2 linked regions of the Saccharomyces cerevisiae S288C genome follow. The protein of the gene in region 1 interacts with the protein of each later gene in a pairwise test. Each region holds a gene or a part of one and is shown on either strand. Other genes may lie near its edges.

Evidence for each region.
Region 2: the proteins of ERG27 (region 1) and ERG24 interact in a protein complementation assay, tested with the Saccharomyces cerevisiae proteins (one study listed by BioGRID).

Annotation. Positions count from the first base shown.
Region 1 is NC_001144.5:335,207-351,634, forward strand, and holds ERG27 (3-keto-steroid reductase), read left to right. Parts: upstream 1-6,603; coding exon 6,604-7,647; downstream 7,648-16,428. Other genes in the region: serine/threonine protein kinase KIN2, read left to right, coding at 1-827; SCF ubiquitin ligase complex subunit HRT3, read right to left, coding at 1,025-2,059; CHA4 (Cha4p), read right to left, coding at 2,321-4,267; lysophosphatidic acid acyltransferase ICT1, read right to left, coding at 4,538-5,722; MIM2 (Mim2p), read left to right, coding at 6,119-6,382; APC9 (anaphase promoting complex subunit 9), read right to left, coding at 7,764-8,561; DNA replication initiation factor CDC45, read right to left, coding at 8,783-10,735; LCL2 (Lcl2p), read left to right, coding at 11,379-11,774; tRNA splicing endonuclease subunit SEN2, read right to left, coding at 11,841-12,974; REA1 (AAA family ATPase midasin), read right to left, coding at 13,800-16,428. UniProt on the Saccharomyces cerevisiae protein: 3-keto-steroid reductase; part of the third module of ergosterol biosynthesis pathway that includes the late steps of the pathway. ERG27 is a catalytic component of the C-4 demethylation complex that catalyze the reduction of the keto group on the C-3.
Region 2 is NC_001146.8:100,381-117,354, forward strand, and holds ERG24 (delta(14)-sterol reductase), read right to left. Parts: upstream 10,032-16,974; coding exon 8,715-10,031; downstream 1-8,714. Other genes in the region: YNL284C-A (gag protein), read right to left, coding at 530-1,852; mitochondrial 54S ribosomal protein uL15m MRPL10, read right to left, coding at 2,754-3,722; WSC2 (Wsc2p), read right to left, coding at 4,804-6,315; POP3 (Pop3p), read left to right, coding at 7,307-7,894; HCH1 (Hch1p), read left to right, coding at 8,087-8,548; pheromone-regulated protein PRM1, read left to right, coding at 10,537-12,522; CAF120 (Caf120p), read left to right, coding at 12,891-16,073; YNL277W-A (uncharacterized protein), read left to right, coding at 16,299-16,487; MET2 (homoserine O-acetyltransferase), read left to right, coding at 16,969-16,974. UniProt on the Saccharomyces cerevisiae protein: Delta(14)-sterol reductase; part of the third module of ergosterol biosynthesis pathway that includes the late steps of the pathway. ERG24 reduces the C14=C15 double bond of 4,4-dimethyl-cholesta-8,14,24-trienol to produce 4,4-dimethyl-cholesta-8,24-dienol.

The sequences.
Region 1 (16,428 bases):
CCACATACAGTAACGATACTAACAATAGACTGACTTCGGTGTATTCTCAGGAGCTTACTGAGAAGCAAATTTTGGAGGAAGCTTCAAAGGCACCCCCCGGGTCTATGCCATCAATTGATTATCCAAAGTCAATGTTTTTGAAGGGTTTTTTCTCTGTACAAACAACCTCCTCTAAACCATTGCCTATTGTTCGTCACAATATCATATCTGTTTTAACAAGAATGAATATTGATTTCAAAGAAGTGAAAGGCGGGTTCATATGTGTCCAACAAAGGCCATCTATTGAGACTGCAGCTGTCCCTGTTATAACCACTACTGGCGTGGGTTTGGATTCCGGAAAGGCGATGGATCTGCAAAATAGTTTAGACAGTCAATTATCATCCAGTTACCATAGTACAGCGTCCTCAGCATCAAGAAATAGTTCGATAAAACGCCAAGGTTCTTATAAGAGGGGCCAGAATAATATACCACTAACACCTTTAGCGACCAATACACATCAAAGAAATTCATCTATCCCAATGTCTCCAAACTACGGAAACCAAAGTAATGGTACATCAGGGGAACTATCTTCCATGTCATTAGATTATGTTCAACAACAGGATGATATTTTAACAACATCAAGAGCCCAAAATATAAATAACGTAAATGGTCAAACAGAGCAAACCAATACTTCTGGTATAAAAGAAAGGCCTCCTATTAAATTTGAGATTCACATTGTAAAGGTTCGTATCGTCGGCCTAGCAGGTGTACATTTCAAAAAGGTTTCTGGTAATACGTGGCTATATAAAGAATTGGCATCGTATATTTTAAAAGAATTAAACCTATAGATACGTTGTTCTTACTAAATATTTCAACGTGTGTCTTTCAATTTTTATTATCTAATATTTATCTTTTTTTAATATTATAGTATAATTTATTTAAGCTGAGATCTGCTTTCTTTAATCTTTCATATGATGAAATAATAGTTCTACATAAATCTATAAGAATAATAAATAAAGTAAAACAACTGCAAAAAACATCGATGTCATCCAGGATCCTTGAAAGATTTCACTCTGGAGAAGAAAAAAGATTTCTCATTTCTCAACGAACAGTTAGATGCATTCCCTTCCTTATCCACTACAATTGAACTTAGCCATTTCAACCGTTGATATCTCTTATTGCCTTGATTCTTGATTTGGAATTCTTCGATAAACGTATACTTTTCATCTGACCTTGTTATCTTTAAATGACCAAAATCATAATCAAATCCGAGGCTCCAATAACACATATGACTATGCCTGGGTTTGTTCTCTTTGGAGAAGTGCTTCACGACAGCGCTAGGTTCATCTGTAGAAAGTAATCTCAAACATTGGCCGTTCTCATAAAATCTGAAATACCTGTAATAGGTGATCATGTGAACTGGCTTTAAAAGAGATAACGAACTTTCTGCATTGGAACCGTATCTTACATAATTTACTACACTGATGTAAACACCTTCGAATTTAATATATGGCCTTTCCCTTAACATACGATAATCATCACCCCGCCATATTTCCTTTTCAAAGGTATTTATATCGGTGATTCCGTTAAGATCCATTGCCATTTTGTCGTATATTTGCTTAGAATATATGTACTTCGCGAAAGTTTTAAATGGCACAGAATCGTGGAAGCAAAGCTTGCTAAAGGTGGAACAAGTCATCGACAAATTCACCCAAGATTCACCAGACATTAATATAACTTTTTTAATAATTCTCAGTAAAATGTCGTCAGGCAAGATTTCCAGAATCCAGCAGGGTTGAAGTTCAGCATTTTCTTCAACAGATAAGTCATCTTTACCGGTTTCATTTTGTTCATCTGGAGCATCAGTAGTCATTGATAATCCCGATAGTTTTTTGTGCAGCATCCACTCATCAAGTATTTTTTTTCTGTACAGTGATTCCACATTATCATGGATTTTCAATGCACTTCGATAGAAGTTTATAGCATCTGACATTGACCCATCCTTCTCTTTCAGTACACCTTTTTCCCAAATAGCAATAGCCTCTTTAGCCCTAGGGTCCTTTTCATAATCTACTATCATTTGCTCCTTGAGTTTAGCTTATGGAACACATGTGTCGTCGCCAAAGATGATGGGGAATGTTTGCTTTTATCTTGCTCAGTCGATTTCGCTATCTAGGAACTACAATCCTTTTTTTTGTCATTTGGAAGGCTCTTTAAAATTCCGAATCGATAAGTTCGGAGGTGGGAAAGGATAGCGGTATATTCCTTCCCAAATAAAAAGGCTACAAACACATTACATAAAGAATATTTGTTCAAGTAAACATATCCTCTTCACTCAAGATTACTTCGACAAACCATCATTGGTGTTTCCACCAATCAGCATATCAATCTCATTCAATAAAGTAAAGTCAAAATTGTACTCTAAGGCAAAATCGTTACCGTGAGATAGAGTCCCTAATAAATCCATAGTTTCTGAATTATGCAAAGCATCTTCAGAGTTTTCTATGAATTTTCTAGCAAGTTCGTAATTCAGGGTAGGCGCACTTAAAAAATTTAAGAAGTCTTGTTTTCTATCCTTTTTAATCAAGTTGGACTTCATGCATTGGATGGCTAAAATCGCAGAATAAATCATGTAAATTGTGGCCTTCTCAAACGTCTTAAATTTATTTTTCCAAACTTTTAAAAGATAATACAGTTCATCAACATAACCTTCAACCAATTCCCGGCTTTGTTTGATTTCGTATATGAAAGGTTTATTATAGGAAATTAGCACGATATAGTAATGAAACCATACGTAAGCTATGGTTGGGTTAAAATCTGTCATTTCCATCAATGACCTCTTGGTCCATTGTAGTTCAGGGGGCAAATCCCTTCTCCAATTGTATACCTCCAGATTAAATTTGGCCAAGTATTCACTCCTTTGAAGTAGAGTTTCGTTTGGGCTGAAAATCTTGGATGCAAAAATCTCCGTTATTCTCGATAACACAATCAGTTTCTTCAAGGGGTTTGCAGTGGACAATATTACTTTTGGGTCATATATGTACTCCTCTATACCAGTCTCAATTTCAGGTAGCTCGTCTGTTTCTGGAACAGTGGAATTGGACAAACGCAAGGAAGTTGATCTTCCAAAGAGGATCGCTATTAAATGATCAGCAATGTAGCAGCCCCAATAAATTCTACTTCTCACTTCAAAATCCATTATTGACAGCTCGTCTTCATAAACATTACTCCATGCTTCTGGATTCAAATGTAGGCCGATTTCGTGGGCAATCCTAAATGCCAGCCCAGAAAGATACCAAGCCATGGGGTTTTCTCCGCTTCCAATGTCATAAAATGCCAAACACAATAGAGTCTGGATGATTGCTAATTTCGAAGAGGACGACGATTCAGCTAACGAAGAATCTTCCAGTTGAAAAATTTTTTTGAGTACTATCGTCTTGGCTCTTTGATAAAACACTTCAGATTGTTGAAAAAGCTCAGTTTCTGATTTGTATGAAATCAAAGATCCCAATGCAGCGATTGCAAATACCAATTCTTCGGAACAATAGTAACTTTTAGTGTTAGTATCACCGAAGAAAGCACTTAAGAAAGTTTCTCTATGAATGAAAAGGTAATGTCCCGGGTATAGCCATTTGAAAAAGAGTGACAACGATCTTAAGATAAGGGGACTTCTTGATAAATTTTTTAGGCTGACCTGCTGTTGCTGATATCTTGTGCTTCCATCCGTCTTCTTTTTTATTATAGACAAGGAATTTGATGGATATATACTATTTGTGCCAACTGGTGGAGGGCTCTCGGAAGGCATTTTCTTGGTGAACGCATCAGACTCATTCTCATCGTTGCTTTCAGATGATGGTAGTGCTGATTGTGCTGTTTCGCCATACTTTAAGATTTTTTCATTAGGAGCATCACCATGATCACTGTTGTTTTTTAACGAGGAGAGAGCATTGCTAGCAATTGTGGAAGACGAGGAACTTAATATTTGCAACTGTTCTTTCAAAGACCGAATCTGGCTCTGTAAAGCTTCTACGTAAGTCGTAGAATATCTTTTGTTCCTTAAGTCTTGTTGAGTGAATACACATTCGGTACGAAACTTGATACAGTTTGAACAAGGCTTTTCCATGTTACATTTCCTTCTTCTTCTACGGCAATTCTGGCATGCTAGTTTTCTCTTCCTGGGCACGTTGTTATTATTCTGGTCATTATCTGTCACAGATTTCTTTAAACTGGACGGAAGGGAGGGTGTTACCGTTGTTGTTAAAGGTGGAGGTGAAGGCTCCAACATCATTGCTGCGATTGTGTAGAGCTTCGAGTTTTAAAAGGGCTATTTTTGAAAACTTACGGCGATGTCAACTTGTTGATTTTGCTTTGTTTCGTTCGGGATGGATCGGAACATCCGCTCACATATGAGAGGTTTACACTCTTGATGTATATGTTGCTCTATCTTGTATACGGTTAAGTAAAGTGATGTATTATGTATATGTATGTATTTATATATATATATATATATATGCGTGGTTTTCCATATTGTATTTTTCTTCTCTACTCTATATAGGCATTACTTTGACAGGAACGAGACTAAAGAAGAGGCAAAGTGCTGCGGGTTGTCCAGGAAAAGATTATGGCCAGCATCAGGGACTTCAACGTAGCTAGCCTTTGCCTTGTTTTTTAGCATTGATTCAGTAGTCAAGTAGCCCGCATATTTATCCATCCAATCGTGCTCGCCATACATGAACATGACAGGCGTTGCTGGGTTCAAAAAACGAACGTTGTTTATTATCGGATCTCTAGCGATCAGATTCCTTTCAAACAAATGGGTGAACACCTTGATTGTCTGTGGTTGCACCGTCTGGTTCTTCCCGACAAATGAGTGCAAAAGATAGTCCTTATATATCTGATCCGGAACTTTTACGTATGCGGTGGAGATGTAGTTCGAGCACAATTTGGAGCCTATGGGTCCCATCCACTTCAAAACGTTTAGCTGGTTTTCAAAGATAAACCGCGGTACGTTCAGCTTTCTTGTATAATATCGGGACGATGGGTCGGTAAACGTAAGTGGATAGGTGGTGTTGGGCTCCCATTTGTGGGTGATAGCATGTATACTGTTTTCCACACCAAGAGGAGATATGAGACACAGTTTCTCAATGGAATCAGGGTACTTGAGGGCGTATTTGAATGAAATATATCCTCCGAATGAATGGCCCACCACGTTTATTTTGCGAAGCTTGTTATCCTTCCGCCATTGCTCTATCCTGTCTACGAAGTAGCTTTCGTACTGCTCCAGGTGTGACTTGATGTCCTCTGCTGGGGGGCGCTTCTCTATCACAGGGATTACTACGTCATCTTCTATATGCTTAAACCTGAGAGACTTGATCTTCTTGGTTTTGTTCACTTGCAATGCTGGCGCCTCTGAGGCACCATTGGCTGGCAAGTCGATGGCATATAGATCTTTAATGTTGTCTGACAGGTTCTCAAACGTCCTGTAGAACGCCATCGACGAGGCAGCGTATCCATGGATTAGTACTGTAGGCGTGCACACTTTGTTCGCACGCTTATTGTGGAAATGCCACTGGTTAATCCCGCCTGGAGTCATCGTGTTATTAACGGACCCACGCACAGTGGTGCTATCCATAATTTGCTGCTGCAGGGCCTTCAGGCCCTGCACGCTAGCACACACCTTGGCGTCTGCAGTAGTGGTCTCCTTCTCAGTTTTGCTGCACCATTTGAAAGTGTTTGTCCACATTCTACTGAAGAAAACTACGCTTACGTATGTATATGTCCTGAACAATGAGAGAAAGACCTGCGAATATACTTCTACTACTCCACGTACAAAAAAGAGCACGCTGCTTTATTTATACTTTTGTGCCACAAGAATGATCAACATCAACATAAATATCAACTAGTATCTGCAACACATCTGCTCCACGGAACTAAACCCGTTGAGCAGTGCCCCGTGGAAACGTAAACTATCGCAAATTGGGATTAACAAGCCAAAAACAGCCAAGCAAGATTCACGAAACCGCGCCTCGTTTGGACCCCGAAGGCCCATTTAACGGCCGGCCGTTACAAGCAAGATCGGCAGAGCAAACCACTCCCCAGCACCACAGCACATCACTGCACGAGCAACAATAACTAGAACATGGCAGATAGCGAGGATACCTCTGTGATCCTGCAGGGCATCGACACAATCAACAGCGTGGAGGGCCTGGAAGAAGATGGTTACCTCAGCGACGAGGACACGTCACTCAGCAACGAGCTCGCAGATGCACAGCGTCAATGGGAAGAGTCGCTGCAACAGTTGAACAAGCTGCTCAACTGGGTCCTGCTGCCCCTGCTGGGCAAGTATATAGGTAGGAGAATGGCCAAGACTCTATGGAGTAGGTTCATTGAACACTTTGTATAAGTGTTTGTTGTTTATGTATCCGCATATAGCAGTTATAACAGATAAATGGCACTTTTCGCACACCCGTTGTTTTATCTCCGATAGTACGTGGGCCTTTATTTATGGTCGTTTAACGAAAGAACGGCATCTTGAATTGAGCAGGTATTTAAAAGATAGGACGAGAAACAAGCACATGATCTGTGTCGAAAAAAAGTAGCAAAGAGAAAAAGTAGGAGGATAGGATGAACAGGAAAGTAGCTATCGTAACGGGTACTAATAGTAATCTTGGTCTGAACATTGTGTTCCGTCTGATTGAAACTGAGGACACCAATGTCAGATTGACCATTGTGGTGACTTCTAGAACGCTTCCTCGAGTGCAGGAGGTGATTAACCAGATTAAAGATTTTTACAACAAATCAGGCCGTGTAGAGGATTTGGAAATAGACTTTGATTATCTGTTGGTGGACTTCACCAACATGGTGAGTGTCTTGAACGCATATTACGACATCAACAAAAAGTACAGGGCGATAAACTACCTTTTCGTGAATGCTGCGCAAGGTATCTTTGACGGTATAGATTGGATCGGAGCGGTCAAGGAGGTTTTCACCAATCCATTGGAGGCAGTGACAAATCCGACATACAAGATACAACTGGTGGGCGTCAAGTCTAAAGATGACATGGGGCTTATTTTCCAGGCCAATGTGTTTGGTCCGTACTACTTTATCAGTAAAATTCTGCCTCAATTGACCAGGGGAAAGGCTTATATTGTTTGGATTTCGAGTATTATGTCCGATCCTAAGTATCTTTCGTTGAACGATATTGAACTACTAAAGACAAATGCCTCTTATGAGGGCTCCAAGCGTTTAGTTGATTTACTGCATTTGGCCACCTACAAAGACTTGAAAAAGCTGGGCATAAATCAGTATGTAGTTCAACCGGGCATATTTACAAGCCATTCCTTCTCCGAATATTTGAATTTTTTCACCTATTTCGGCATGCTATGCTTGTTCTATTTGGCCAGGCTGTTGGGGTCTCCATGGCACAATATTGATGGTTATAAAGCTGCCAATGCCCCAGTATACGTAACTAGATTGGCCAATCCAAACTTTGAGAAACAAGACGTAAAATACGGTTCTGCTACCTCTAGGGATGGTATGCCATATATCAAGACGCAGGAAATAGACCCTACTGGAATGTCTGATGTCTTCGCTTATATACAGAAGAAGAAACTGGAATGGGACGAGAAACTGAAAGATCAAATTGTTGAAACTAGAACCCCCATTTAATATATCTCTGCGTACATATGTATATATATATATGTGTGTATATACATGTATGTCTGTATAGAAAACGCATATCAACTGATATATATACACGTGAAGCAAAAAAGGCATTGCCTCTGTCAGAGAAACGAACTATCCTCGTTGCTATAGTGTCTTCTGCACTTATCGCGTAGACTTTCTATTGGCACTCTGTCATGGCATTTAATCTTGTACACATTCTTTAATTCTTCTTGCAAAAGAAGGTACTCTTCATGCAAATGATGACTTTGGAGTGAATTGACTAATCCTGAGTCGTTCCAGAAACTTTTTAAGGCGTTCGTTTCATGATTTATTATGTCATCCAACCGTCTCATATTAGGTTTCGAATTTGTTACAAATTCTCGCCTTGATAACCTCTCCAGGTCTTCTTTGTTGCATCCAGGTACACTCTCTAACAACATTGAACCATTGCCCTCCGGATTCGCACTGTCATATTTATTAGCCTCTTCGCCGCACATGATGTCAATATCGGGTCGATAGCTGTCTATGCCGTCTAGATGGCCCACCTTATGAAACACAAGACAATGTGCTGCCCTTTCGGCTTTCAAAAAACTGTCAATTCTACTTTCCCTTAGCGTATTGCGCTCACAAAACGGTGAATAATCGTATTGCTTTTCTTCCTCGATGTGGCTCAAAGTATTCAGATAGTCGACTTCGTCTACGTCCATATTTATCCCATAGAGATCATCTGCAGTCCTCTCCTCTAGTACTTCGCCTGTTATGGGCATCGAATCATCATTTATTACCCTTGTCGACCTTTTCCGTAGCGGTGTGGTAAAATTGTTAAAGTTGGCTTTGTTGAACCTTGGTGTTTTCCAGGGCGGCAATGACGGTAGTTGAAACAACTTGCCTTCGTTCTTATCACCATTTTGGTTCATCTTACTTTGTCACAGCTATTTCTTTCCTTCCTGAATTTGTCCTTCCAAACCTAGTTCCCTGTTCTTAATTTCCTTTTATTTAGGTTTTTTTTTTTGTTTTGTCAAGAGCCGCGCACAAAATATGGTATTATTATAGAAAAGTTGGACTTAAAAGCTTGAAAAAGCTTAGATTTTATATTCATATGCTGGTATATATGTACGACTAAATAATATAAATTTGATTATAACAATCCACTCAAGGTCAGCTTCTCCAGGAATGGTGAAAGATCTTCACGACGTATTTCAATTATGGAACTTTCAAAATTATCTATTCTCACTTTAGCATCCGTTTCTGCAGTTATTTGTTGAAACGCCATGCTGAAATTATTCAAAATAGGTTTTTTTGTGTGTATCGTGTCTAGTCCGCGAGGATACCTAGGTGTTAACCCAGCAACCAAGTAAGTGTCCGTATTTTCATCTATGCTGGCAAGCACCATGGGCAACAATTGCTTGTCTTCAGATTCCGCACAGCATTCTATGAGCCAATTTCCTAATCTTAATAACGTCAATGGGTTTCTGTACAAGTCTAAATCGGGTCCGTCTTGTAAGACGCATAATCTATAAATTCTTAAATGCTTGATTAATTTCTTCTCCAATATAGCAACCCCGGTATTAAAAATTGCTCTCTGTAAGTCTTGTGCTAGTTGAATGCCACGGTTTAATAGTTCCACCTTTCTGTCATCTAGAGCATCCCAACTGAGCCAAAAATTCGAAACCCATCTTTTTCTCAAATTCGTCAATTTTTGAGCGCTGTTATCTTCTTCTTCCTCTCCATCTGTATCGTCATTATTGTCATTATTTATTTTCACACTATCCTTATCAGTTGAATTACCTACTTCCAAAAGAGCTGTTAGTGCTTCGACAAATTCACTGGCACTTATGGACCCACGATATCCAAGAGTTCTAACAAACCCATCTCTAATTATATCTTGCAACCCATAACGATCCAAATTTTTGTCAAATATTATCCCAAGTTCTCTCTTAATAGAATGATCCATGTATAACCATGTTTCTTGTGCAGTACTTAATGGTATACCCATTCTAGCAAACATCTTATGCAATCTCTTTTTCCCATTTTCATTCCATAGGGATAGTTTGGCATTGACATAGTTAGAATAATAAAAACTGTCGTACAATGAAGAATGCCTCAGTAAGAAAAGGTAGTAATCCGGTTGGATGTTTAACGTCAATGTATCAGGGGTCTTTACTGAGTTTCTACTGCTTGGTGTGAGACGCTTCACTTCATCTTGCAATAAGGGGTATAATCGATTGTAAACTTGAGCATATGCTATATCTAACGAGGTCGTACCAAGTATATTCAACCACAGGTTTGAAAGATTTGTTTCTCCGATAGCAGACAATAATGAATAGATTTGTGCAGATATCGAGTTAACCACTGTTGTGCCTTGAGAATAGTATTCCTCCAAAACACCTTCATATTCATGGATTTGCTTCTTTCGTTGCTTTCTTTTTGAGAGATCATTCGGTCCTATTGAAGAATTACCTCTTTTATTAGATATTGTCTCATCTTCGTCTTCTTCGTCCTCGTCTGTGACTTCATCGGCATCAGTTGCCTCATCGTCACCCCCATTATTATCGTTCTCGTCACCTGAGAGCTCATCGTCACCACTCTCCTCGTCCAGTTCAAGCAATTTATAGTATGCTTCTTTTTGTTCGCCTAATGTGTCATCCACCGTACCGTCGTCAAAACATTGGATGATTTGTGATCCAAATATATTGTCGAGATTCCACGGTCTATGAGCATCCAACACGTAGATGTCTCTCCTGAAACTTTGTTCCCCCGACTTTTCATCTGTATCGATAACATACTCTTGGGGATCGATTTCTAAGAAAGCCTCCAGATCAATAACGCCTCCAAACCCTACTAATAGCAGACTATTTATATTGTCATCCAATTGAGAATAGTGGCGTCGTAATTCAGAGTACCCAAATATCGGTACTATTTGAGATTGTACCAATTGTTTTTTGAATAATAGTGACAACATCTTCGTCGCACACAGCGCATCGATGTTAAGACAAGAAACGAAAATGACCAATTGACATGATGAATGAGACGATGAATTCCTTAAGATTTTGTTGTAGGCTTCGCTAAACTGGCTGATTCCATAATACATGTGCGAGAGTATATTCTTGTTATTATGTGCCTTCTCTCTAGTGTTTATTGCTACACTTTTATTGCTCTATAGTGCGTTGTATAAAGTAGCCACAATGGATTGTTGGCATTACTACAGCTTCATTATTTACTGAAATTTCTTAAAACGCGTTAGATGATATGTTGAAAAAAAAATACGCGTCGTGAATGAAACTTATTAGGTTTTACGACTAGTTAAAGCAAGAGAGAGAAGATCGAATTGACTAAATGTCTTCACTTTGAATTTATTCTAGTAGGATTCGCATGGCTTTTTCATAATAAAAATCTCGTTTATTTATGCTTTTGGTTGGTTTTCCTTTGATAAATGCGGCCCTTGCTTTGTTTGTGGTTGCAACGAGTTCGTCAAATGATAAATTGACGCTTAACACAGACGCATGGGAACCACGTAATTGAATTAATGTTTTCTTCTCGAAACAATTGCAATGTGACTTTCTTGTTAGGCAATGTGAGATGAAAGATGGCCTTTACCTTTGCAGATGTTTGGGTGTGGCTCTGAGCTGTCCTTTATAATTATAGAGATAATTTTGATGAAAGCTCAGAAGACCTTTAATGACGAAAAATAGGCATGGTTTGCCAGGCAAAAAACGACCAAATTTTACTGTAGTATGAGTCAAAGTCGCTGGAGTATCGTTCTCATCTTTGCATTGTTTATTTTTGGCAGCACTGGAGTGAATGCCTTCTTCAATTTCGGTCATCATCAGCAACAGCAACAGCAACAGCAACAATCATATGAAGATCAAGTTTTAAATAACCCTTGTGATGGGTATTTGTGTCCGGACACCCTAACGTGCGTTGCACAGCAGAAAGACTGTCCTTGTCCCTTCCCTAAATCTCAGTTGAAATGTGTCCTTCCTGATAATAAATTTGTTTGCATATCCAAACCAGCCACACACAATGAAAAGTTTAGAGCAATATATGATGACCCTGTCAAGGGCCCCAAAGCAAAGAACAAGGGGTTTAGGGATTGTGGATGGGTATCAGATGCTTACAAAAACCATTGAAATCTGTATAAAAAATACATACACATACATATATACATACGAAGGATTTATCTTCTCATTGATATTCTAGTCTCTATTTCTTCCGGGAACCCATCTCTTATACAATACTTCACCAACTTGAAAACTATTGAACAATTTAGTAAAGTTGTTTGATTTCCATAGTGCTATCGCCTCCTGTTCCGAGATTAGTCTCTCCACGTAGCATAACACAAACGTCTTCTTTGCGCCGCCCACAACACGGGCTATGCTAGAATACCACGTATAATCTTTAGAGACGTCGTGGTCAAGACCCATAACACAAAATTCAGCGTGTTGAAATGGTGGCCCTCTCTTATATAATAAATAATCGCAGCCGAATTTTATACCAGATCTTACGCACCAACCGTGTGATCTGTAGTGATGGTATATAACGTATGATCTGACAAAGGAGTGAATATCTTTATATTTGGCATCGAATTGAAACAGTTTCCCTGCCAGGCACGCGGGAGATATGTCAAGAACAGGAAGTGCAAAAGTTAAAAACATAGCTTCCACTGGCATTAGTTCTAGTGACTCTAGTGGCAAAAGATCACCGTTCTCATCAAGAAGATTGTTGTCTTCATCTCTTAAATTTGATTCGGAAATGTCTTGCTGTTGTGCAACGATGCCCACGTCTTCTGTTTGTTTTAGTTTAAATTTTCTTAATGATTCTCGTTGTTTCTCAAGGAGGATGTTTTCCTCATCGATATGACCACCTTTTTTTCTTAATTCTAGTAATTCTCTTTCTAACTTCGCACGTTCTTTCTTGAACTCTAATCTTTGTAATCTCCTCTGTTGTGTGACCTTCTCTAAAGTCATCTCCGTTTCAGTATTACTCTTTGTTCCTCCCCGATTGTGGAGGGGAGTATCATTGAGACCCAGTCTGGCCTCTGTTCTAGCTTTCCATGTAGGCTCACTCCTGCTAAATTGACCAGTGCCAAAAAATCCATTATTCCAAAGATATAGCATTTGCTTGTCATCTTGAACCGTGATGTGAAGAGTGGTATCTCCTATAAAATCTACATGTACTTTATCGTTCAGTGCGTTCGTACTCTTGTAATAGCGGTATGCCCAATATAGCCAAGATAACGGATTATGAAGGATTAACTCTGGAAGGTCATCTACGGGGTGAATTGGAAGAGGATACTTGTAACGCTTCTGATTGACCCTCCCTTTAGACATGCTCCTTCTTGAGTCCTTCGTACTTATTGTCTTTTCAGCGTCGTGTTACAATGAAACGTTTTAGCATATTGAATTTCGATGGAAGTTCAAATGTTTTATGCACCGAAATGAAATACTAGAGCAAAGAGATGTTAGTGAAAGCACCAGCTAATATAGCTCTTTCAAATTTACGTGAAAAAGTTATGTGTGGCAATATAAATCTATAGCAAGAGTGGCTTCTATAAAACATTTTTGACAAGAAATAAAATTCAGATACCGTTGTAGTCTTGAGAAATCATTGTGCTCACATCGATTAACTTCGAGCAACATAAATCATGCTATCATCATTAAAATAAAGTGGAAGTATTAAGAACAGATATAATAGCACGAGAAAAAACTCGTTCAACTAAGTCTAGACACACCTCCTGGTGTTATTTAGTCCGTTCTCTTAACAACCAAAGCCTACGAGCTCTCAAACAGCTCTTTTGTTTTAACTTCCTATAGAACTGAATGGGAAACTTGCATCTTGAAGAAAATTTTTCTCTTTAAATATCTGACTGAAGTATTGATCCCTTCAAAAAAAAAAAAAAAGAGAGTTGGTTACCCATATGGGAATAATATTTCTTAGGGCTAATTGACAAAGGATTGCTAACAGAAAATGCAAAGGACTAATAACTTGAATCATTTTTATATCAGGTTTATATAGGTATACGTTCAGTCTAATTAATAATTTATAGTTTACAGTAGTTTTTTACAGTAGTTTTTTTTTTTTTTTTTCAGTTCCATGATTTTTTTGTTCCTTTGATTCGTGTAGTAAACCTCCTCTTCTTGGTTTTCACGATATACTTAGCTGGATGCCAGGTCTGTAAAGTATTGACGCAAAATCAGTGAAAGCATTTCGGGTAGTTCGCTTATATCGTGTACAACAACATAAAATTCAAAAGGAAATGTGTCCAAGTATTTGGTAATCTTTAATTGCGGATTGCCATACTGATCTGGAATGTAGTTCACTTGGCTCATGTCTAAGATGGATTCATTAGAAGTAATACCATCTATGATGACAAAAACCAGCATAATTTTGTTTTCTCTAGCACGGCGGACCAGTTTTTGTATTGTTTCATGGTCTTCGCAAATACCATCAGAGATTACAATTTCTAGTTGCCATTGGTCATTATGTACCATAGCGCGAGCACGTTCAAAAATTTTAGTAGATTCAGCCACAAGTTTCTTAACGTCTGTTTTAGTTTCTTGGAAACCAAACCATTGAAAAGCTCTTGCGCCAGATTCGTTACTAAATTGTTGGTCAAATGAGTGAACTTCTTTAATATTTTCACCGAATTTGACAATAGATAACCCTCCAGCCTCTAGCTGAGTTAACGTCTTGGAGACCAAGCATAAACTATCAAAAGCGAGTTTAACGCATTTAGATTCGCTCATAGACTTAGAATCATCAAGCGCAATCATTATTTGATACTGACGTTTGCTTGGTTTAGTTCTTCTCAACCAGATTTTATCTTTACGGAATTGTGAGGCAATATATGGAATGATCCGTTTCATATTCAGTCTCTTACCTGTTTTGTAATCACCCTTCAGCTTTGTAGCCAAGGTAGGTTCCAAGATTAGTCTTAATTGTTCTCCAAGACGTGATACTAAATCGGCGGTCGAAATTTCACTTTTATGCCACAATTCACGGGATTCTTCTAACGATCTTTCCGGTGTCAAACTAGCACTTGCATCAGGTGGATTATCCTCAATGTTTTCAATTAAAGATTGTATTTCACTGTCATCCTCTTGATCAGCCGAGAAGTGTTCATTTGAAAGTTCGTTCTCAAAATCTTCCTCACTCTTTCTTTTACCGATGAATCCTGACTTTTTGCTGTCAACGTCATTGTTAGCGTCATGCGCGTCGATATCAGATAGCATCTCTTCTTCATCAATATCCATTTTTTCATCATCGGCGTCTTCTACTAACTCTTTCTGGTCCACTTCTTGCTCCTCCCTATCATCATCAATGGCCATGTCTTCATCAATGGTTTGTAATTGATCCTGTGTTGCAGAACCTAAAGCTTGCGTATCTGTTTCAGTATTTGCACCCTCAACATGTTCAAATTCATCGGGACGTTCATTGTTTTTTTCCAAATTTTCGTCCTCTTCGCCATTAGTTTGTGCTTCTTTTATATCTTGACGACGTCTATGATATTCTTTCATGCTATCACCTAGTTGCTTTAAAGCAGCCGTAGCCTCTTCGCGTGATTCTTCATTATTCTTTGTCACATCTTCTTGATCTTCTTCATAGGTATTCTGAGTCGTTCCTGAACCTCCAACATCGTCCTGTTCTTGTGTGTCCGTAGCATCAGCACCAGCACCTTTGGATCCAGAATCTTGTTGAACGGCAGCTTCTTGATCGATGTCTTCAGTATCAGCCTTTTCCTCAACGCCATCAAGACCTTCTGTATTCTGCTCACCTCCTTTCTCTTTGTTTTCTTCCATAGCAGCATCTTGCTTTAACTCTTCTTCATCAGACATGGCTTGCTCTTCTGGGCCATTTTCTTCGTCTTCCTTTCCCTCATCATTAGTCATATCCACATCCTCTTCAGCACCTTCTTCTTCGTCAAGAGCTGTTTCTGTCTCGCCGGCATCTTCCTCAGGACCAGGTTCGTCGTTTTCATTATCACTTTCGATACCGGATTCTTGTTTGACTTCTTCGTCTTCGTTTCCAACCTCTTCCTTGTTTAGGTCATCAGGCATTCCATCTGACATATCAACATCTTCGTCTGATTCTTCATGCTCTGAATCTAAATTCATATCTTCAGGAAGGTCTAGGGTTTCGATTTCAGGAACATTAGCCTCCAAATCCTCGCCTTCTTCATCTTTAACTTCGTCCTCCTGTTCACCAACGTCGTTTTCCTCTTCTGCATTTTCATCGTTTTCAATTTCCTCATCGCCATCTTCAGGTGCATTTGGGTCCTCATCCCCTCCTTCCTTGTTATCCCGCTGTTGTTCGTCATTTTCAGCAGCTTGTACATCTTCCTCTTGATTTTTTCCATCTAAATTCTGGTCTGTATCTTTTTCTTTTGAATTATCACTTGCCTTATCATCCCACATTTTATCATCAATAGCGTTGGGGTCATCTTCATTCAGGTCATCAATTTCTTCATCTAATTCTTCTTCTTCGCTATCAGTATCTTCATCATCATTTTCTTCACCATTAGACAAATCTTCCAATTCACCAGCCATATCGCCCTCCATCTCAACTGCATCATCTTCATTCTCGTCATCCCTCTCATCTTTATCTTGTTGTTCTTTGTTTTCGTTTTGTGCATCCTCAGTCAAATCTTCGTCTTGTTCGACGTCTTTATTGTTATTTTGAGCACCTTCACCGTCTCCCAAGCCTGTACCCTCTTGCAAGTTTTTGTCGTCAACTTCTTCAGATGGTGGCTGCGGAGAACAGAACCCATTTTTGGCTAAGCTATGC
Region 2 (16,974 bases), on another chromosome or scaffold:
GTTATTTTTAAGTGAGTATCGAATTGTCTGTGCATTGGCATGTGCAAGCATTCGATGAATGAAAGGATAAGGATATTTGCGTGTACTTTCACTTGTATGGACATTATTGATGGTGGGTACGGAGATATTTGATGGAAGCAAGTACTTTTTAGATACCCAGTAAAAGTCTCCATATTTTACGATAGGTGCAAGTACAGTGCCGTCAGATCGTTCTAAGACGTTTTTGGTAAAGCATGCTGTGATATCTACTGCAGCCAATTCATTCAAACTGAGTAAGTCATAGGCTATGTTAGGAGTGTGCAATACCTTTATTGATGTTTTGGTGTTGTCCTGGAAGTGAAATTGTAGGTCACCAATAGCGTTAATTGGTATATTTCTTTTTTGAGCATCAACTACGTTTATGCCAGGATTAGATGATGCTGAGTGTATGTGGTGAGCAGATCTTATAAGGGTTCGTGATGCTCCTGAATCGAGAAGGAGGTGTCCAGGGAGTTCATCATCAGAATGATTAGTGTGATTTACCGTAGATTCAGTAAGTTCCTGGCCTAAGGTGAAGGTCGTGTTTATTCTTCAATTGAATCGGTTCAGTAGTTGATCCTCTTATGAGATCGTTATCAGGGCCGGAAGAGTTATTAGATGTGGATACGTTATGAGCCCTGGCTGTTCTTGATTGTGAATTATTTGGTTTTTGGGAATTCCGAGTTATGGATTTGGGTTTGGTTGTATTCGTGTAGGTGCGAGAGTCTTTCTTCTCATCACTCGGATTTCTCCTATAAGTAGATTTATTACGTTTTGATTCCTGTTGTTCTTCATACATAGAATGTATGTCTGAAAACAGATCAGCAACTGTCATATGTATATATCGATGACGTGCGTAGCGTAAAAATTTGTACTCGCCAGATAGACCTCTCATAATGAATTGGCATGCTACCTTGTTATTGATAGGAATGCCATTGTTGTTTAGTCTGTCAAGAATGTTTGTGACTTCTGCTTCAAATGCATCTGCAGGTGTGCTTCCATTATAATGCAAAGTTGCTAGGGTCGTAATGTCATTTACCTCTTGAGTATCAGATTGCATTTTGTTAATGCTTTTGGAAAGAATTTTCATGATATCTGTATAATCAGCAGATAAGATGTCTTTAACCCAGGTGGGTAAGAATTGAGATGGAGCAAATAGTTGAAAGGTGTGACATAAGAAGGTGAGTTCGTCATCAGTCATCTGACGTACGGCTTTTCTTGTTGCTGTCGGAATAATATCACCGAGATTCGAATTTTGTAAAAATTTGATGTATGTTTTAACCCAATTTAGAAAGTCATTAGGTGAGGTTAACATTGGTGGTGGTCTGACATATTTTTTAGTGGATGTCATATCAGAGTCCGCTGAGGATGAATCAGTAAATGTATTACCTGACTCAGGTGATGGAGTGCTCAGAGGCGTTCCAACTGATGATGGATACTGCGGAAACTGTGAATGTGGCCCAGGTGGAAAGTACATAGGCGACATTTGATAAGGTGTATACGGAATCATAGATGGGCGTCCGTAAAATGACCAACCAGATGGATTGGCTTGGTTTTGGGTCATCATGCACTGCTGTTGGTACGGCCCATTCTGTGGTGAATGTGACTGAGCAGTTTGAGGAGAGGCATGATGGGGGTTCTCTGGAACAGCTGATGAAGCAGGTGTTGTTGTCTGTTGAGAGTTAGCCTTAGTGGAAGCCTTATCATATTCTTGAATTTTGGAAGCTGAAACGTCTAACGGATCTTGATTTGTGTGGACTTCCTTAGAAGTAACCGAAGCACAGGCGCTACCATGAGAAATGGGTGAATGTTGAGATAATTGTTGGGATTCCATTGTTGATAAAGGCTATAATATTAGGTATACAGAATATACTAGAAGTTCTCCTCGAGGATATAGGAATCCTCAAAATGGAATCTATATTTCTACATACTAATATTACGATTATTCCTCATTCCGTTTTATATGTTTCATTATCCTATTACATTATCAATCCTTGCACTTCAGCTTCCTCTAACCTCGATGACAGCTTCTCATAACTTATGTCATCATCTTAACACCGTATATGATAATATATTGATAATATAACTATTAGTTGATAGACGATAGTGGATTTTTATTCCAACAGTGTTAAAGATCTATTAGTTGATCATGTTGGAATAAAAATCCACTATCGTCTATCCAAACAATTCTCTCAAAATTCGCCCAATTCTCAAAATTCACCCATTTCCCACACATATGTGTTTTAGGAACGTTTAGGATAAGGAATCGTCATACTGACGTACCTCATTTTGAGATACAACAAATCATATATTATAAGACTCCATGGCCAAGTTGGTTAAGGCGTGCGACTGTTAATCGCAAGATCGTGAGTTCAACCCTCACTGGGGTCGTTTATTTTTTTTGTATTTGTGCTTATTTACTAAATAACCATTTCACCCTGTTATAATAATGCTTAAAAGAAGAATGTAGTTTTTCTCTTTTCCTTTAACTGCTTTACTTCTCCCGAAAAAGCAAGATGCAATCTTTTAATATGTTTGAGTTTGCTTAAAGTATATTCACAAAAAAGAAAATAAAAGTTAAAAATTTCTGAAAATCAGGACCTTATTCGATAGTTGGTCATAAATTGACTGAAAAATAGAATAATTTCGGACACCAAATGAATCATTAACAAGACAATATCTTAAGGTATGTACAAGTGAGAATATTACTTATATATAAAACGGTTAACAATTTTTTAGTGGTCCAAAGCCTTGATGTTCATGACTTTAGAATTAGACACAACTGGCACCCAATCCTTCTCTGGAGACAGTTCTTCTAGCTCTATTTCTAATGAGCTCTTTTTTACATTCTGTTTTAAAAAGTGTCTAGAACCCTTATTTTGAGCTTCTTTGATATCTTGTAAGAGTTTATCTTTTTCCATTACTAGGTAACCTCTTTTCTCTTCTTTACTATAGAAATCAATATCCCTTCTTTTCGTGGGTCTAGCCTGTAGTGGTACTCTTCCCCTCTTCTCAAGAAACCACTGGGGGTTGAGATGTGCCCTTAGACCCAACGGTGTGTAGTAACGAGCTGTAAACTTACCTCCTGCTTTTTCAATAGCCGCAATAGCCTTAGCGGATGCTCTAGAAGCCTCCAAAGCAATCGGTAGATTGTAGTGGAACTTTCCGCTGGCTAGAATTTTAACTCCGTACTTTATGGGACCAGTTACCAGACCAAGCTTTCTCATCTTATTCATGTCTAAAACCTCGCCTGGTTGCAAATGAAGCCTATTTTTATCATGAAACCATTGAATGCGTTTCAAGTTTAATTCCTTTAATGGTTTGGCGCCAACGTTGGTAAATCCAATTTTAGGAAATAGCTTGTAAATTGGAGTTTGACCACCTTCAAACCACGATTTTACTTTACCACGCGCCTTTTGACCCTTTTGACCACGCCCTGATGTCTTACCTAAACCGCTGGAAGGACCACGCCCAAGTCTTTTGAAAGACTTTGTAGAACCATCTGACGGTTTCAATTGTCCCAAAATCGAAACATAACGATAACTTTGAAATGCTAATACCGGCGATTTGAATAAACCTCGGAAAAAAATATCGTTACCAGCTACGCTAGTTAACATCATGGACGGAACAAAAGTGTTTATTAGTTTGCGACCGATTACGGTTGTAAAACTATTTCTTAATCCTGTTTGCCTTTCCGCTTTCATCAACTTCTAAAGGTCATGAGCTTTAATTTTACGCACTGCGTTTAGTGCAGTTACCTGGAGTTTCAGCCGGGTAAGAAAACTATACGATTGCCAAATAGAAAAACGGATATAAAGATAGTAGCTGTGAATAGTAGCTTTGTATAGTACATAAAGGTACCTTATCTAACATTGCTTGCGACGCAGAATACGCAAAATATACTGTTTAATTGCAATCAGGAGTTTGCTACGGTATTTGGTATAATCGGAACTCATATTGTCCTACGTTCACCGAGACCAATGAACGCACAATAAAATGGATACTTGGAATGCCCTACCCAAAATATGAGCTGCGTTTGTTTTGTGAAAAACGAAAAGTAATTAAGTTGTTTTGCAGAAGTGTGAATAATTGGGGGACGCCATTTGGTTTCTCTCTTCTGATTGATTAAAGTTAATTTCGGCACAATAACCCAATGACTGGCTAGGAAACTTCTCGATGCATCCGTGATCTCCCAAGGACGAAATGGTTTTTATCACGTCCTAACGACATCATATGTCCTCGAGGAGAACTTCTAGTATAGTATTTATTAACAATGGAATCCCAACAATCATCAAATTATTCACCAAATATACACAGATTCTTATACTAACTAAAGTAAGAAGATTAGGATTTCCATACTCATTTTGTTAAGTAGCACTTGTATATCCGGTTTTCTCAAGTTCTGAGCTTCTATGGCCAAGTTGGTAAGGCGCCACACTAGTAATGTGGAGATCATCGGTTCAAATCCGATTGGAAGCATATTATTTTTATTCTACGGTAAACATGCCTGATGGTGATTTGAGACAGACCCCATTGCCTCAGATTTGTGAAGAATAGAAAATGTGTACATTCATTTTGATAAACTATACATATACTTAACTTTTTAACATGATAAATCAATATTGATATGGTCGGTACTGTTCACTTTATCTATATTTTTTTTCTTTCGTGCAATAATCGTCGGCTTTAATAATATTATACATACAAAGGGAAAATGAAGGAAAGAAATATGAAAGGATGAATAAGTCTTTGATATGAATATGTAGTGTTGGTATCTAAACCTAGTCAGCGCAAAGAACTATTATTGGAATCCTTTGCATCATCGTAATCATCATCACCATCTGAGACATTACTCCCAATATTTGAACTCACATTATCGGGGTTGACAATGTGTAGTTGTCTTTCTTCCATCATATCGGGCAGCGAAGTAGCACTGAACCTTTGGTTCCCGTTATAGATCGAAGGAGGCTCCTCGTACACTACCGAGGGAAAGTGACTTCTTTTGCTGATATTATGTGCATCACCAGTAATAATAGAATCTCTGCCGCCCGGCGCCCTTGTCGGCAGATCATAAGTGGCAAAAGTAGACGCTGTATTCTTGGACAATGCTGTATTATTCCTAGAGGGTATGTGCCAGTTAGTGCTCGAAGCAGACGGTGGAATAACAGGGTTAGCGTCAGCATCACCCAGTGAGTACGGCTGGTACTGCTTTGTCTCTTCCAAGTCCACATGCTGAGAAGATTGGCGACGTTTTTTCCATACGAAAAAGAATAACGCCAGAGCCAACAAGGCAACTGTACCACAAACCACACCTACTACGACACCTGCGATGGCGCCACCACTCAAGCCTTTGCTCTTGGACGAGCTCGATTTCCCGTTTAAGAGAGAACTAGTAGAGGAGGACGTAGACGATACTGTTGCATAAACAGAGGTCCTGGTGGTAAAGATCGTGCTTGCTTGTTGGTTAGCTTGAGAAACCACGGACTGCGTCACCACACGGGTAGTGTAATGCGTGGAAGTACCTATTGAAGTCGATGAGGGGGTAGAAGTGACCGTTGCTGTCGAAGTTGAGGATGAGGTCGATGTGGTGGATGAAGAAGTTGCCTGCGTAGAGGACGTTTCTGAACTGGAAGAGGCAGAAGTGCTAGAGGAAGTGGTGGAAGGAGAAGAAGAAGTAGAAGTAGTACTAGAGGTAGTAGAAGTAGTAGAAGTAGTAGACGTAGAAGAGGAAGAGGATGAAGAAGAGGAGGAAGTAGTTGTCTCTGAAGAGGAAGTGGTAGTGGAGGTTGTAGACGAGGAAGAGGATGAGTGCGTAGCAGAAGAACTAGTTGAAGTTTTCGTGTCCAATTTCGTGGACGTTTTTGAACTAACACTTGTGCTTGATGAAGATGTTGTCGATGTTGAGGTAGCAGTAGATGAAGTTGAGTCCGCGGTAGAAGCAGCGTTATTGATATAAACGTTCATGGCAGAAGAACCACCACAATTTTGGTAGGGCCAGCCAGCACACGAAACATCACATTTGCTCGAATCTACCTGCGTCAAAGACTGTAACTGAGCTACGGAACCACCACAGTAGCAACCTGTACCGTTGAAAAGAGCAACGACAGCCTGACCAGGGCATTCATTTTGACAGTAGGAAACTGATTGATACTCGTAAACACCCTTGTAAGTCAACCCCAATTTTCGTATATCACTAGCTGAATAGCAAGCTTTATATGTGAATTGGTCAGCCAACGCGGCTCGTATATATATGAGCCACACTAAGATGAAGGACTTGTGTATGAGATCTAGGTGCATATTCCACTTCTATAATGCTGTTGGTCAAAAAGAAATTCAAAGAAGAAACAATTAGAAACCAGAAAGTCTGTAAAAATACAAAAAAGCGTGTCCTATAACCGAACAGCAATGTTTGTTTTCACTAGATTTGTTTTCTTTTGGCGAAAAACGAAGGTAGAAATGAAAGTAAAAAAAGAGCAATAATGGTAAATCAAAGGCTAGCCACGCTTTGAGCTATAGTTGGTCGTGCTGAGCAATAGTAAAGAATTGAAAAAGCGAGTGGATGATTTGAAAACTGCTTATATGTTTTACGTTGAGGGTTTCTCCTCTTTATTTCTTCGAAGGACGGAGGACAGGTATAAAGCAGTCGCTGGAACTCTTTTCCCTGACAATCTTAAAAAGAAAGACCGAAACAGAGTGTTATAAAACGAAACAAAAAACCTGCTGTAAATGCACTTCTGGGAGAAGTGCTAGATCACAACATACAAACATATGCAAATTCATAGTAAAAGGAGATAGGGCCCAGATGACCAAATCAAGAATGGCTCACTGTTGAAACATTCTGCTTAATGTCGAAACAGTCCGTAAACAAACACATTCCCACAAAACACCGCACCGCGAAAAAAAAAAAAAACAGGAAAAAACGCGAAATGTCCGTAACTTTACCCGGTAATAGTCACGTGATAAAGGTGCATTGGTCTAGCTGGCTGTTCTGGCCAACGCGACAGCAGGGTTCATACTTTCAGTAGAACAAAAATCGGGGGAAATGCGATGCACTCTTTAACTGCAATTATGCACATCCTATTGCCAGGGCGGATATTTGATGTTGTTCTCAGATATGTATTCCCTGATCTATACCGTTCTCATAGTTCAATTTTCTCTGATTTTCTCGTGCGGGCAATAAGTAAAAAATAGCATTTGCGTGCTTAAGTGAAATTTTTCAGATTATGAGTGATATAGAGATGAGGACTGTAACAAGAAGGAAGGTGAGGAAATCAAGACGGTAAGTAGCATGTCCGGGTCGTTAAAATCTCTAGACAAGAAAATAGCTAAAAGAAGGCAGGTGTATAAGCCCGTGCTAGACAATCCGTTCACAAACGAAGCACATATGTGGCCGCGCGTGCATGATCAGCCATTGATTTGGCAGCTGCTGCAATCCTCTATCATAAATAAGTTGATTCACATTCAATCGAAGGAGAACTACCCTTGGGAGCTGTATACAGATTTCAATGAAATTGTGCAGTATTTGAGCGGCGCTCACGGAAACAGCGACCCAGTATGTCTATTTGTGTGCAATAAGGACCCTGATGTACCGCTTGTGCTCTTGCAGCAAATCCCGCTATTATGCTATATGGCGCCCATGACGGTTAAACTGGTGCAGTTGCCCAAGAGTGCCATGGATACCTTCAAGTCGGTTTCTAAATATGGAATGCTGCTGCTGCGGTGCGACGATAGGGTCGACAAGAAATTCGTATCGCAGATCCAGAAGAACGTTGATCTGCTTCAGTTTCCCTGGTTAAATGCTATCAAGTATCGGCCCACATCTGTCAAGCTGTTGAAAACTACAGTGCCAATTGTCTCGAAGAAGAGGCAAAAGTAGACAAAATTACCCGCGCAGGCCTATTTTTCTAGAAGACAGAAGAAAAAAGTGGGCAGAGAAAGCGAGGAAAAAAAGAAATACATATGAAGAAGAAAAAAGCTGAAATTTAAGCAAATACTTTTTGGACAAAATCATCAAACTACTACTAAAGTTTGAAACGATCGGAAAGTTACAACACATTTACGATAAAATATGGTTGTCTTGAATCCAAATAACTGGCATTGGGTGGATAAAAACACCTTACCTTGGTCTAAGGACTACTTGAACGGTAAATTAACGAGTTTGTCCACTGTTTCCTCTGATGGGAAGAGCAAAATTGAGTTAACCCAGGTGAGTAGCATCACCGGTGACTCCAACGTATCTCAAAGGAAGGGCAAGCCGATTTGCTACTTTGACTTACAGTTGTCGATGAACGTCAAAGTGACAAATTTGGATACTAATAAGGACGACGAGGATGATGACGGCATACTTGCGGACGGGAAACTAGAAATTCCAGAGTTTATGCATGACGAGTCTGATATTCCGATTTTGTCGCAAGGGTTTGATGCTTTTGATGGATTGGTTAGGTCTGAATTTGTCCCTAAAGTAGTGGAAACGCTACTAAAATACCAAGATGACTTGATTAAAGAACACTCAAAGGATATACAAGTTTGATGTGTTCATGTAACGAAAAGGGGAGCGTTGCATAGATAGACCACCGCCCCTTTTAATTTTTCCAGCGTTTTCAATTGTTATTCTTCTTCTTCCTCATACTCACCCAATACATAACATGTATACACACATACATAGATAATGAAGAAAATAGCAGTGGTAGAAAAACTTAATAAACATATGGAATGATCTTGTAAGGAACTTTTCTTTCGTATTCTTCCCAATTTTCGCCATATTTCAGGCGGCACTTGTGCTCATCACGTTGTTGACGGTGTAATAACAACGTGGCGAAGTACAACGAGTAGTAATATGTCAAGGGAGTTTGGAACCAGGTGGCCAAACACCAACTTAATGAAATCAGCCAATCGCCAAAGTAATTGATATGCTGTGATTTAGCCCACCACCCGTCACATAATAACTTTGTACCACGCTTTGTCTGAATACTTTTTAGATTTTCTAATTTACCTTGTCTAAACTCAGATTTTTGCTTATTTGCCGAGTGGAAGATGTGGAAACCCAAAAACATTATGGCTAATATACCGACAACTTTCACCCATCCCAATTCCACAGGGGAAACACTCAAGTAACGCGCTTGTAATGAGTAGGTGAATGGAACTAAACTTAAGTCACCAAACGCTAGCATGAAACCAAACCCATCTGTAGTGATATCCATCATGGTTAATACACCTTCCTCGTTTAGTACTCCATCGAAAATGTAAAATCCTTGCAAGAAATTAACCAAGACCAATGCATCGTTGATTTTACCAGTCTTCAGGTAATGGTGATGCAGACAGGAAAGATTGATCAGTAACCATAACAACATGCCGGGTCTCAACTCTGAAAACATCTTGATATCTAATGGGCCGAGACGAGGGTTCAGTTCTCTACCAATAAACCAATCGTAAATGATGTTTCCTGAATTTCCACCTAGTGCTAAGATCTTTTCCCTTTTGCCATTACCATTTTTCTTGAAGATCAATGGTATGAAGCTGGCAACATAGCAGTACGTCGCCAAAAAGAACGAAAACAAAATAGATATTATGCATAAACTAACGTGATTTTCATACAGATATTGCAATTCAGGCAATTGTCCATCAGTCAATTTCCATCTGATAGCCAAAACTAAGACCAAAGTTGTAGACATGGCAATTCCATTGATCTTATACGAAAGCTTCGAACCATCCCTTAACTGAACACCCTTCATGACTCTGCCCGGTAAAATGACGTCCAAAACTGCCAGTATTCCATACCACAGGCAATAGACAGTCCATAATTCACGATTGCCCAGATAGTAGCGCAATGGCTTGATACCGTTCCAAAGCTCAACTATATCGAAATTCTGGAAAAATCCCTTAATAAAATAATCGGGCCTTATCATTTGATTCAAGATGATAGTGAAAACAGGCAGCCCTATGCTGATGCCTAAGGCACCAATCAGCCCACCAAATTCAAACTCTGTAGTTCTGGGATTCAAAGCTGATACCATCCTTTTATTCTCTACACCGAATTTGTCTTTACTCCTATGCTGTTTACAAGGTCTATCTGATAAGCAATTGCGCAAGAAAATAGTAGAATGAAAACTGATTATTAAAAACAAACGTAAACTCAAGCCTCACTTGATGCTCAGACGGAGTACGTGAAAAACGTCCGTTATGCAAAACCCTTTATATGCACAACCTTCACACAATGCAAATTTCCGATGATGCCTACATACAAAAGAGCGAAAGGCGATATAAATTTTTTTCACGGGATTTTCGTTTAGGTGAAAATAAAATGAACGACAGAGCATGCAGAGTCCGGGTAATACATATGTTTCAATACTGTTTCAATACTGTTTCAGAAGTGCGTCACATATTAATTTTAACTTATAACTGGCCTGTTGCTGGCAAGAGGTATATATATATGACGAATGTGACCAACATAAGTCCTTAAGATAATCCCGAAATATTTGGTTAGGATGATTCCCTTTCGAATTTGTGAACGTTGATGATATGAGCGGTTTTAAATGCTATTTGCAATTGGGTGACAGGCTCTCTCAAATATGGCTAAATAAGTATACTTTGGTTTTGCTGCTAGCAATGCTGAAGCTTCTGTTTTTCTCCAAATCCATACAACATGCGATAGAAGTCTCGGAAACGTATATTTTGTCCAATTGTTACAGTATTGATTCACTATACTCCAAGATGACAGACAACACGCCGCACTATTTAGGTATCATGGGGAATTATCTTATCGAGAAGGGTATGGAGGAGACTGTTAAAGCTACGCTAGAGACGTTATCACTTATAGTATATGCGAGCGAGGGGCTGGTAAACTTTGCCATTGACCTGTATTTGGGCACTTATGCCTGTTTGATTGTTAGTGCCGTTGATGGTACCGTGGACGTTGCTACTAACATTACAGAAAAACTGATTAGCTTAGTCAATGATACAGTTTCAAGTGTGGCTAATGAATTGGATACGGGCTTGAATGACATCTCCAAAATAATCAATAAAGTGATCAAGGCCGCATCCAAAGTAGAGAATTTTTTCACAGGTGATGACGATGACAGTAACATGACGTCGTCAATCAAAAGCGTCAACTTAACCATATCTGCGCTTCACAATTTATACATTCCTTCCTCAATCAACGATAAGCTTGAAGAGTTATCGGCAAAGACGCCGGACTTTGCCCAGGTTAAGAATACAACCAAGAACCTGATCTCGGTTCCCTTCAATGAAGTTCGGAAGAATATCAAGGCCGTGAATGCCAGCAATATAATCGGAGATACCTCCGTTTTGTACGTACCTCCCGTGTCCCTTGACAACAGTACTGGGATTTGCTCATCCAATCAATCAGAAATTTTGGCCTTTTATTCCATCTTGGGACATGTCCTGAAAATAGCCACCGTAGTGTGCATTACCGTATTGATATGCTTCGCTGTTGGTGCGATGGCGCCCGTTGCATGGAATGAAATCAAGCTCTGGAGGCGCCTTTGCGGAATGAGAGACCATTACATGCTGAGCAGGCAAGATTCGTATACGTCCTTTTCCAGTGAAAACACGCACGAATTGAAAGATCCATTTAGAGATCCTCCTATACAAAATGGCCAATATGATGTCATTGCAAGCTATCAGCAGTGCTTTCAAACATGGAACACAAGAATAGCAGGCTGGATGACAAATCTTGTTACCTTTGGAAAATCACCAGAGAACATTGACCCAAAGACTAAACAAAAAATAGAATGGGTAGTGGCTTATATGACCTCCGAAAGAGCACTGTGTGTTCTTGGAATTGGACTTTTGGGAATTTTAGTGTGCATATGCCAATTTGTCATGATAGCACTGTTAAAACACAAGATAAGCCATTCATTGACTTCTAATGATGGTGACGGCGTTCAAAATTTGCTGAAGTCTAGCACTGCCGTCGATATAGAGAACCAAATGAGCCTTTGGAGCGTTCAGACTAATAAATATATAAATACTACGGAGACCAATATCAATCAGGAAGTATTCGGGTGGATAAACACGACAACACTTTCTGTGAACAATACAGTGGCCACCATGATCTCTGATATAGACACAACTTTAGCAGATGTATTCAATGGAACACTGCTATATAACCCAATGAAAACCGTGGTCGGATGTGCCATTGAAAATAAGCTCTACACAATAGAGAAGGCAATGACGTGGATTCACGACAAGGCTCAGCTGCATATCCCGAGAATTAATGGGACACAAATCAAGCAAGCTCTGGCAAAGCAAACCGACAACAGCACTATACCCACTGCAAGCTCCACTTCTGCCGCCACAGAAAACTTACTGGAGAACCTTGTGAATGATATGAGAGAAGGACTTTTAAAAATTCTCCGAGCTTACCACCGTATAACTCTGGGAGAACTCACGGTAGCCTTGGTCATTCTTGCGGTGTGGCTCGTACAATTGCCCATAGCTCTGGTAATTCTCCGATTACGTCTTCGCAAAGCCACCTTTGACTGATTAATTAGTTGATAGACTTTTTCCGTCATAACTCTATTTAATAATGATGACCAAAAAGAGGCTCGTTCGAATCATTTCGCGTTGAATTTGAAATTCGCGGAGGAAAAACACGCAAAGAGAATCGGAAACCTTATCGTCAAATCATTGCACCTTGCAATGGTGGGTAATGATACATCATCGCAGTAACAGTATTCATATATTCGTATAGTTAATAAGATCACTTTTCAGTTAGCTTATACAATAAAAGATATTACCTTTTGTATTGTTAGTTGCAACATCCTTTTTTTATAAACTTTGACAGGCGATATTACGTTTGTCACTTCGGTTTCCCCACACAAAGAACACGTTACTTGGCAAATTCAGCTCTTATGCGAATTTTTTCAGGTGACAACAAGGTAGTTGATTCCCTCGCCTCTAACCCTGGATTAATGAGTCCATCGAATTTTGGCGGTGACTTCGGTTCACGACTAAAAGTAAATGTAACATCAAAAAAGAAACTTAACGACTCATCACCAACTTCTCCCATGGAAAGTTCACCAGTTTCACCTGAGTTGGTGCCTATTCTAACACTGCTAAATGCACATACACATAGAAGATATCATGAAGGCGTGTTTTTGATTTTACAAGACCTTAACAACAATGGCACTCATGCAGCAAGGAAATGGAAGGACGTATATGGGGTACTGTTGGGTACTCAACTAGCCCTTTGGGACGCCAAGGAACTAGCAGAATTCACTGATCCGTCTTGTCCGGTCTCTGAAAAGAAACTGAAGGAAGTTGCTTCCAAACCCACTTATATCAATTTGACAGATGCTACACTAAGAACTTTGGATAACTCCGATAATATCGTAATGGAGTGTGGAAAAAACCTCACTAATGCATTGGTGGTTTCTACTACGCTGAAAAACCGATATTTCTTACAATTCGGTAACAAAGAGTCTTTCAACGCATGGAATTCTGCTATACGATTATGTTTATACGAATGTTCTTCGTTACAAGAGGCTTACACAGGCGCATTTATTTCAAGTAGAGGCGCAAAATTAGGTGATATCAGAATTCTCCTTACGAATAGAAAATATGATTACAAGGATTGGGTCAGCGTCAGATTCGGAGCAGGTATGCCGTGGAAGCGCTGCTATGCGGTAATCTCTCAATCTAGCAGTAAGAAAAAGGGTCATTTTGGTGAAATAAATCTTTATGAAAATGACAAGAAAGTGAAGAAAAACCATGCAATGGCTACTATTGTAGAGGCAAAGGCGCTTTATGCTGTTTACCCGTCCTCCCCTAAACTAATAGATTCCTCTACAATCATTAAAGTCGTAGGTTCTGTGAAATTTGAAAAAAAGGAGTCTGCTCAGGAAAAGGATGTCTTTATTATGCCCGAGAAGCATCAAGCTGTACCAAGTTATGACACTATAATAAGGTTTTTAATACCGGCTATGGATACTTTTAAACTATATGGAAGACCAGAGAAATTATTGTCAAGCAAGAACGACCCACATTCACTTTTGTTTGGTTTGCCAGTTTTGCCACATATATACTACTTGGAAGTGGAGGATTTACTTCCATTGACTAATTCTGTATCAAGCTTACACTGGTCGAATAACGAATGGAAGGAACATATCAGTGATATTTTACAAAGGAAAATAGCACAAGGCTACTGTGGGTGTAATTCTACTTCCAATATTACTTCTCCTCTACCTTCTCCTTTCCTTGGTTCAGCAGACTTATTTGAAAGGGCCGATGGTGTTTTATCACCGAAACTTTCTTACGGGTCTAAATCTTCTTCGAATAACAGCTCGAAGAACAGTTTGCCAAAGAGAGAGCGTGTAAAATTGTCATCTTCTTCTGAACAGGACCTTAATAACTCTGATAGTCCATCTATTAAACGTAAAAGTCCTCCACTAGTGATATCTGAAAGTCCACACAAAGTCCACACACCTACTGATGCATCCTTCAGAACAAGAGTGACAGAAGGTTCACCTTATGCGAAGCAAAGACATCCCAAGCCGTTTGCGTCATCTGTAAACGATTCACCATCAGACAGAGCCAAGTCGAGGACAGTTCCTTACAATAATAACGACAGGAAAGCGACCACTCCTGAGAAATTTGAAAGAGGAGAAACCTCTTGTGGTAAGAACGTGGACGAAAGTTTGGAAAAGGTCCGGAATATGAAGTTAGAAATTCCCGAGTCCAATTTTGACAAGTTCATGACAGACAAAAATCTGTTGTCTGTGGATTCTAAATGCTCTAATGAGAAGAAGCTCTCTGTGGAATCAGATTTGTCTGCAATCTACGAAAAATACTCCAATGGTCCCTTTGGTCACACTGAGGGTCTTAACGGATCTTCTGATGAAACTTACCTTCGTTTTCAACGGGCGTCAGTTCATTCAGAGAGCAACTACAATTCAAGAAAATCCTTTACACCAAGTGACTTTTCTAATGGCAATGAGGAAGAACATGCCGTTTTACAAGAATTAAATAGTTTAACCCAAAGAATTAATGAACTAGGCATGGAAAGTATAAATTCAAACTCCGATTCGGACAGAATAAACGGGTCATATTCACAAGTGGATTTTGGTAACAATAACGACGAGGACGATATGAACCTGTTCGACCCAGATTTTATGGCACAAGACCAATTGCGTGCTGAAGAAAGAGACTACAACAAGGATGATAGAACACCCTTAGCTAAGGTCCCTGCGGCCTTTCAATCAACTGGATTGGGCATAACCCCCGATGACGATATCGAGAGACAATACATAACGGAACACAGATCACGACATGAAGTGCCAAAGCGGTCTCCCGAGAAACCCTCCAACCCGCTGGAAATAGGTAACCCATACGCGAAACCTGGCACAAGGTTGAATACCACTCACACCCACAGCAAAACTGATCGTAGCATTACCCCTCAGAGGGGCCAGCCAGTCCCATCAGGCCAGCAGATTTCCTCCTACGTGCAGCCAGCAAACATTAATAGTCCTAACAAAATGTATGGTGCAAACAACTCGGCAATGGGTTCGCCCAGGAATCCAAAGACGAGAGCGCCACCAGGTCCATACAATCAGGGATGGAATAACCGCCCCTCGCCTTCAAATATTTACCAACGTCCTCATCCCTCAGATACACAACCACAAGCATATCATCTCCCCGGAAACCCATACTCAACGGGGAACAGGCCAAACATGCAAGCGCAATATCACCCGCAGCAGGTGCCCATGCCTATCCTGCAGCAGCCCAATCGCCCGTACCAACCTTATGCGATGAATACGCACATGGGCTCTCCTGGCGGATATGCTGGGGCAGCACCACCATTTCAGCCAGCTAACGTCAACTACAATACTAGGCCTCAGCAGCCATGGCCTACACCTAACTCACCATCCGCACACTACCGTCCGCCCCCTAACCTGAACCAGCCTCAAAACGGTAGTGCTGGTTACTATCGTCCGCCGGCACCACAATTGCAAAACTCCCAAGCCCGTCCACAAAAGAAGGACGGATTCTCACAGTTCATGCCATCTGCAACTACGAAGAACCCATATGCCCAGTAACTCGACCGACTGGTTGTAATTTTACAAAAAGAGAGACAATTAAGAAAAGAAACAAGCGCCAGGCTTCCGTATCCCAGTTTTTCATCTCACTTTCTGGGCACGATTGTAATAATACTTCATGATAATAACTAAACTATATAAGTAGTGTCTCATCCGTAAATATACATTTAGACAGATTCTTGTATTTTCTCCGGGCAATTTTTAACTTTTTTTCTGTTAGGGCACATGACACTTGCCTATTATGGACAGCCAGTAAAGATGTGCCATATATTGCCCCCTTTACGCTCTCTGCCAGTATTAGTGGGAAAAAAAAAACTGAAAAAAAAAAAATCGCAGACTACTAATAATCACGTGATATTTCTTTTCACTCTCTTCATAAAGTTGCTAAAAACACACAATCGAATGAGCCTCTGAGCAGTATAAATTGTACTTCAAAGCACTAGTCATGAAAAACGCTTACATTAGTTCAGTTTGTCAAGGTTATGCTATTACTTGTACTTATTTCTTGCTATTGTTAGTGGCTCCCCACATTGACGTATTTTCACGTGATGCGCCTCACTGCGGAAGGCGCCACACATTGCCTGCAAAAAATTGTGGATGCACTCATTTGATAGTAAACTAAGTCATGTTAATCGTTTGGATTTGGCACACACCCACAAATATACACATTACATATATATATATATTCAAAATACAGCTGCGTCCAATAGATGAGCTTCCGCTTCGTTGTACAACCTACCTGCTATCTTGTTCACGGATATTTCTTGCTTTTAATAAACAAAAGTAACTCTAGAACAGTCAAGTCTTCGATAATTTTTTTAGTCACAGGGTCCGTCTAAAGTTTCTCTTTATTTGGAATAATAGAAAAGAAAGAAAAAAACGTAGTATAAAAGGAATGTCG